2 linked regions of the Diceros bicornis minor genome follow. The protein of the gene in region 2 purifies or fractionates together with the protein of the main gene of each other region. This does not show direct contact. Links are inferred from orthologs where the notes say so. Each region holds a gene or a part of one and is shown on either strand. Other genes may lie near its edges. The genes, in order: WWP1 and ARRDC3.

Region 1 (3,909 bases), on a different chromosome or scaffold from region 2:
TCCCAGGCCAGCAGATTTTAGTTTCAAGGATTAGTAATCCCCAAAAGGCTGAGAACCACTGCTATAAAGTAACACACATATGCCCAAGATAAAGCTTCCATGGATGTCGTTCAAAATGGTACCACTATTCTCCCAATCAACCTGGATGGGAATCTTAGCTATCTTTTACTTTCTTCATTTCCTCTCTCATCAAATTCTGTCTCTTCTACTTCCTTCCTCCTTCCCACTCCTATTATTAGTGCTGCAGTTCAGACCCTCACTACCTACAACCACAGCAATCAAGGCCTTCCTACCCCAGGGTCTCTCTACTTCAATTCACTCCACACGCTGATGCCAGATTAATCCTCTGAAAGCTAGGCTTTAATCATTTCATTCTCAACTCAAAAATCATCTGTAAGACACCCCCCCCCATCCAAGGTCATTAGCCAGGCATATACAACAATCATAAACCGGTCCAGATTTTTACTTCAAGCTTTACCCTTTCTACCAGCACACACACCGTGTGTCCCATCCAAACATAATGCCCTGCTCCTCCCCAAGTGTTTGACCTCGGTGCTCTCAGTCCCTTCTCTCTGCTTGGATTACCTTTCCCAGCCTATCCCGAGTCAGTCATCCTTCAAAACAAAGATTTCAGAAGCCAGCTCTATGAACTAACCCCACCTTGCCAAATCAGATGTGGGCTCTACCCGCTCTGAATGTGAATTCTCTACGCAACTTAACTATATGTTAAAAGACAAACGAGGCCTTTGTGTACAGTCCTACGTGCCTACCTCGTCTGTGAAAGCAGAAACTGGTATCATCTTCATCTTTATATTCCCCCAAACACCTCACACAGTCATGCAGCAGAGGCTAAGAACTGTGCAAGGAGGCAAAAGAAATTCCAGCCTTCGCGGGGTAAACAGCAAAGACGACTATTTCCTTGAAGGCAAAGACCTTCTCAGCGACATTCTCTATCATGCGAGGCTTACAAAAAACATAACCCTTAGTTACTGCTTTTCAAAGCCCTGGTGTGGTAGGTCTTAGAGACCTTTTTGCATTTTAAGGGAAGAACCATGTGAACATGTGAATAAGCTACAGCCCGAAGAACTCTTCCCCACACTCGACACTTCTTGATTTGAGCAGCTCCCAACACTTGGCCGCTAAGTTTTCAACTGAAAGAATAGTAACTTCTTACGAAAAGTGACCATTTCCAGTCACAGATAACGTGCCACTTGATGGCTAACAGCAAGTCACATAAATAAAAGAACGCCTTTCTTTCTTAAAAGGCGCGTTCTGCTCGCCCCACACACGGCGATTGAGCGAGGCAGGTGAGGCCGACTTAAACATGTGCTCCTGTAGAAATCTGCAGACCACTGTCCACTAGGAATTTCGGGCAAGAACAGCACAGGGAGGGAAAGGAGAACTTCGGGTGTAATTCCTGCCCACTCCTATTACCAATGGCACTTGGAAGCAGACGCTCAAATCTTTCTCGCACGTTAGCCTACACAGAAAGATAAAAACTTATCAAACAAACAAGAAAGCGACATCGAGGCCCTGGAAAACATCTCTCCCAGGAAGACTGCAAACGTCAAGGTAACAGACACCCCCCTCCCCGGCACGGAAGGGGTCGCAGCATCACGGGGGCCCACGGAGCCCACCCGAACCACGGTGGGGAGACAGCCCGCGCCCAGGCTGCTCGTGCGCAGGCTGCAGCGGCAGCGGGCACAGCGCAGGACGAGAATTTCAAAAACAGAGATGAAACGAGAAGGTGCAAGTCACCGACGAGCTGAGGACTAGTCAAAACTGCAAGGTCACCGCACCTCCCAGGTCACCGGGGGGGGGGCGGGGGCCGGGGGCCGGAGCGCACCGCGCGGGAAGCCCGTCCGACGGAGCCGTGCGGGGGGCCCCGCCGGCGTCGGAGCGGAGCCGCGGGCGGAGGGCCGGGCGACTCCCGGCACGCCCCTCGCCGGCCAGCGCTCGGGCCCGGCCCCGCGCGCCCGCTCTCCCGGCGCCGCAGGGCGGCCCGCGCCCCCCGAGGGTCCCGCCCCGCCTCAGCCGCCTCAGCCGCCCGCCGCCCGCCGCGGCGTCCTCACCGGCGCGACGCCGTCGGCCGGTGGCCCTCCTCCGGCGGCGGCGCCTCAGCCCTCCGCGCCCACGGGCGCCATCTCGCAGCAGCGCGGCCCCGGCCGCCAGGCCGCCTCCGCCGCTCGGAGCCCGCACGCCGCGCGCCGCCGCCGCCCGCGTCGACCCCACAGCCCCGCGGGAGCGCGCCGACGCCCGCCCCACCCCCGCGGGAGCGCGCCTCTCGCCCGCCCCGCCCCGCGCGCGGCGCCGCGGCCGCCCAAGCCTCCCGCTCCGGACCGGAATCCGGCTTCCCGCGAGCATGCGCAGTGAGGCGGCGCGACGACGCGTCTGGGAAACTCCGCTCCTCCGGGTCTTCGGAGCGGCCGAGGGGCCAGCCAATGGGAGAGGGGGGCGGGGCCTGAGCCTGGAAGGGGCGGGGCCGCGGCCCAGACTGGGAGGAGTCTTCCCCGAGCCGGGGGCGGCGGCGGGGCAGGCTGCTGCAGACCTGAGTCTCGGGTTCGAGGCCGGACCTGTGCGTGACCTCAAGTGAGGTCGTGGGGCGCTGGCGTTCAGTTCTTGAACGCTTTACAGCAAAAGGAGACTGTTAATATAGCCCCCTTGACCTAACCGAGTGTTTGACTTAGAACCCATTGGGAGAGGAAATAATAGCGTTTAGGGATGGTCATAAGCAGAGTGCCAGTCCATTTTTATTGGTACTCAAAACGTTCACTCCTCCCGCCCCCATGAGTACAGTGATAAAACTAATACTGAGCAGGTACCCGTGTCAGGGCGATTAATCCGTACAGCAGTGCCATATGGAAGGGTCTGTTCTCCCCATTTATACAAACCAATCAACTAGTCTAGAGAGGGGCTGTTGGTTCTGTGTGTGGCTTTTAGAAGAAAGGCCACCCTGCAAGTAGAAGTCACTGGTGACCGCATTGCTCACCAGATGACCTGTGCTTCTACTTCTTCTACTTCAGAGAGAGAATGAAGACCATCAAGCAGGGATTTCTGCAATTTTTGCCCAACTCTCTCACCCAAACCCCACAAATTACCTACATCCACACGCAAGCCTACTAGTTGTGCTCTGTCTCAGAGGCTGAGTGTCCCTGCTCCTCTCCAAGCAAACCTCTCCCTCCTGGGACCCCCTCCTTGACGTATCTCTAACCTCATCCTTTCTGTTGGGTACAACTCCTCAGTATAATCACATTTTAAGACTTTTCTGTCTTAAATTTTCCCTTGACTTTACAACCTCCTTCTAGTTCTCTGTCTTCTTCCATCATAACCAAGCTTTTGAAAGAATTGTGTACCACGGACAGCATTGACACTCCATGAATATTTGTAGGGTTCAATAAATATCTTTGGACTGAATGAATGCACATTCTCTTTCTCTCCATTACATCAGGTCCTACCCTCTGACTTGATACCTGGATTTGATGCACCCTATATCCACAATGATTATTCCAAAACATACATCTGAGCACGACACTCCACTGCTTAAAATCTTTCATTGGCTCATCAGAGCTTTTAAGACAAAAATAAACATGATCCTCAAGGCTTCTTTCATGCTTGCGTGCTCTGTCTCTCCTGTTATGACAAACTCTTCCGAGTCCCCTGATTGTGCTCACTGGTTTCTGCTTTAACCTTTTCCTCACCTTTTTGTTGGTCCAGTTCCTTTAAAAATAAATTCAAGAACAGACTTACAAGTGCACTCTCAGACATTGCGTACAAACACCCAGCAGAGGTCTGCATTCCCTCTGCAGAGTGCACACAGGCCCCCTTCCACTTCCTGCTCTACTGTGTCTCACTTCAAGCTCTCCTGAGTCCTTAGCTTCCTCCCTCAGTTCTCCTCCATGCAGAAGCTCC
Region 2 (3,909 bases):
GTGGCAGCCTTTGCACTCTCCCCCCGCAGGTCAAATCAAGGTAGCCCGTCTGGTGACTACATAGGTCGGCAAACACGCTTTGTTTCAGCTAAGAGGAAAACAAGCGTTCACAGAAGCTACCTGACGCCTTCCACCCGAACAGGAACGGGGTCCTGCTAACCCTGCCCACCCAAGTTCCCTCTGAATAGGACTGCAAGCTCAAGTTGCAACCAGGGCCATTGGGCACCTGTAAGGCCTGCTGGAGCTTCTGCCCTCTATGCTGTTGGAACCTGAACTTGTTTCTTTCGGGGGCCCCAAGAGGGGCGACAGAACGTTCTGTGACATGAGCCCCCGGCGCATCCCGAAGCCCGGGGAGTGACGCGAGTCGGGCGGCGGAGGCAGCTCTGGAGGGACCTTTACCGGCGCACGCCGGTTCCAAGCCTCGCCCCAGCCGGCGCAAGCCCACTCTCCCCACCCGCCCGCGCCCAATCCAATCAGAGCCTGGCATCGCCTTAGCAACAGGCTAACAAACCCGGCTCCGCCTATCGCCGTGCCCGGGGCGGGGTCTCGGGAACCAGGCTAGTTTGAGAGGTCCCAGTTTTAAGTCATTGAAACTATTCCAGTCTAAGAGCTCGTCCACGCTTTGCAGGGGTTGCGGGGCACCTCGTAGGGTGTGGGGCACGGAGTTTTCTTTACCATGAAATCACGGAGAAACTAATGAAATTGTGTTTGTGCCTATTAGTCGTTATTCTACTTTTACCCCACTGCAAGCCTCAACTCCTTAGAAACCTTTGTTTCTCCTCAACCATTTTATCAAAAGCTGCAATGTCCAGAAATGGTCAAACACAAACTCATGTGTCTGCTTTTCAACAAACACCAGGACTGTCATTGGGCATTTACAGTTCTTATCGGTGTTACCGCTTGGTGAGATTAACCAGAAATTATTTTCAGGATGCAAATTACCTATATGTAACTGAAAACCAAACTAAAGAATTGATTTCATCTAAATATTTTAAAAAGTAACGCATTGATGCTGTAACTCAAAGCATCCTTCATTTTCTACACTTGCCTTAGTTCAATTAGCACTTCCTCATGGAGGTCTATTTTTTAATATAAAAAATAAGGTAAAATGTGCTCTACTCTGAAAAATCGTCAACATTTAAACTGAATACTGCATTAAAAAGGAGAAGCACAAAATTACATAACCAGTTTTAACATTATATTCTTCTTGGGTTAGGAATTAAGTCATCGCCACCACCTGACGCGTGTAACCAATCTGCTGAGAGCAGAACAAGCGCCCCTCCTCACCACCCCCCAGAACTGGTCCGAAACAGGATTGAACCGCTTCTAACAAAGGGTGGAAACTTAGAAAAACAAGCTTAGAGTCTTCTATATTTCCACAATGTAACCATTTAAACAATAGATTGAAAATCTCAGGACCCCTTCTCCCTTTGACAACCCTTTATCTCCTTTTTTTAAGCAAAAAATCAAATCCAAGGTGCCGAATACTTTTTCAGTTCCATTTGACTGGCAAGGGTTTCATTGAATGCACGTTCCAAAGTTAGACATGATGCTCGGAAAAGAACATCACTGACCCTAAATGGCTTCTAAAACTGATTTGAAACATATCCTAATGATAGATACTGTCTTTTAAAATAGAGACTGCTTGATGTAAATTTCTAAAGAAACTGGAAAGAATAGGGAAAAAACACGTGGGGTGTTGATACCATATGTCAAAATAAGCCACAGAAACCCTTCATATCAAAGAACAATGATCAATTCTTTAAAGACTTTTGCGTGTCAATATTAAAAATGAAATACACCTATTAACCCACTTAACGTCATCCCATTTCTTCACTGAAGCTTAGTTTTTAACATCTAAGGTTGCAGAGTATAAGGAAAAAATCTAATATTGGACTACAGCTTTTAGCAATTCACTTGAAACCATATTAGTAAAACTACTGAATCGGATTTAAGCAGAATTCATAAGTAAGGTGCAAATGGATTGCAAGTGCGTATGGCACAGACCAAGCCGGCTATAGAGGTAGTTGAATTAAGTGCAGTTTGCAGTCACTTTGCAGATGCCTGCATGCATTACAGCTTAACACACGATGAATGTCAAGGAGAATCCAAATCTTCCAACTTTGCTAATCTTTATCAAACTGCTATCTATGTGTTATGCTGGAAGTAGAATTGTGTTATGCTGGAAGTAGAATTACATTAATTTAGAAAAACTGAAAAGGCACTCTCTCAAGGAAAACAGGTCTAATGATTTCTGAATAATATAAAAACTTACCTCTTTCGTGTCCAATTAAGATGTCTTTATGGTTGAAATATTCTACTTCTTCAGTGTAATTCTGTGTATAGGCAGTATTGGAGCCGGCGTTTCGAGATTCGGTCCAGCGTACTTTCGCATGTCCTCTTGCATGAATTTTAAGCGATTTTACTCTGATTTCCCCAGTAACTTCTAAATTCACCCTTCCTGAGACTGTATCCCCACTAGAATACACAGGGACATTGCTGTCATTGAGACAGTCAAAGCTTATTGTCAAACTCTTCACCTTTCCCAGCACCATGTTTATAACAAAATCTATAAAAATATAATGTAAGACAAAAAAAGTCAAGATCACATATAAAATGTGATCTTCACTTAACACTGATCGATGTCTTTGCCGTGCAAAAAGCTTGCAGGCAGGATCAGTGATTCTTTACAAATAGTTCATTGAGATTTCTTAAAAAGTCAGGGGAGCAGAGAGGCTGCTGCTCCGCGCTGCCGCTAGTCTCAGTGGTCTCCTTACAAAGACGGGCGGTTGGAGGCTGCCAGCTCACTTTAAGAGCAGCTTTGTGAAAAACAACCGCAGTGCGCATGCGCACGCGCCGCGGCTGCTGCCCGCCCTCCCTGCGCGCCCCCTCCCGCGCCGGGCTCGCTCCCTCGCTCGCTCGCTCGCGGGTACAGTAGGTGTGCAGCTAGGGGAAGACGGCTCTGGGGCTGCCGGGAGGCTGAACCTGACTTCTCTGCATTGTGGGCTCCTATTGGTAGGCAGGCTACCGTAAACCCTCGACGTGCTTACCTGGAGCCCCTTACCGAGCACACTCGTGTGGAAAGATGATGGCAGAGGGGGCCCTGGGGGAGAAGGGCTGAGTGGGGAGCTGTTCGCAAAGCCAAGTCGGGATGCACTGCGGGGTGAGCGGCCCGAAGCGTGCGTTACCGGCACTGCAGGGTTTTGCCCACTGCCTGGATGGGAGGAAGAAAAAGTGATGTGTGAAGAGAGATGGGGGTAGGGGAGAAACCGGTTGGGCAAGCGGCCGGTTGCTCAGCATAATCTAACGAATTTCCCAAGAAGATAATAAAAAGCAGACAAGAAATGATGTTCCGAGACAAGAGCATTCTTGGCTTGGTTCTTTTTTTTTTTTTTTAAACTAGTATTTTGTAGGCAGGGTGGAAATGAACTCAGTCTACGGCAAAGGAACTTTCAAGAGAATACTGTACGGAGCAAGGAAGAGAAGCAAGTATAATTTAATCAGTAGGTTTTGTTTTCTCTTCCATCTCTTAGATAGCAGCGAAAAATAACCCAAGTTGTTTGCATGATGACACCAGGGGGGAAAAAAGGCTTGACCACTTCCTCGAAGGAAGAAAAAGCCTGTTTTTAAGACACCACCTACAGCTCCATTTGCAGGGTATGACATGATTACAACTCCTGTGTCCAGAGGATTAAGAATAGACTTTGCCCTAAAAAAGTCCCACCTTATAAAAGGCAGCGTGACGTAGTGCTTTAGCTGACATAATGTTTACAAGAAGATCGAAAAATCTTTGTTAGACATTAGTGAAGCGCATAAGATAGTTTTTAAAAAGCATGCTTTGATATATAAATAGGGCTTAATTCTATAAAACTTTAATTTTAATTTTCAGCCTTGGGCTGTTCCACGTAG

The links.
Region 1: the proteins of ARRDC3 (region 2) and WWP1 purify together in Homo sapiens (affinity purification with mass spectrometry; 4 studies listed by BioGRID and IntAct, counting the BioPlex papers as one, with this or other methods). This does not show direct contact. The link is inferred for Diceros bicornis minor from reciprocal best matches to the Homo sapiens genes ARRDC3 and WWP1.

The regions. Positions count from the first base shown.
Region 1 is NC_080772.1:36,154,110-36,158,018, reverse strand, and holds the start of WWP1 (NEDD4-like E3 ubiquitin-protein ligase WWP1), read right to left. Parts: upstream 2,195-3,909; 5' UTR 2,073-2,194; intron 1-2,072. UniProt on the Homo sapiens protein: E3 ubiquitin-protein ligase which accepts ubiquitin from an E2 ubiquitin-conjugating enzyme in the form of a thioester and then directly transfers the ubiquitin to targeted substrates.
Region 2 is NC_080740.1:17,721,956-17,725,864, forward strand, and holds the start of ARRDC3 (arrestin domain-containing protein 3), read right to left. Parts: upstream 2,787-3,909; 5' UTR 2,556-2,786; coding exon 2,276-2,555; intron 1-2,275. UniProt on the Homo sapiens protein: Adapter protein that plays a role in regulating cell-surface expression of adrenergic receptors and probably also other G protein-coupled receptors.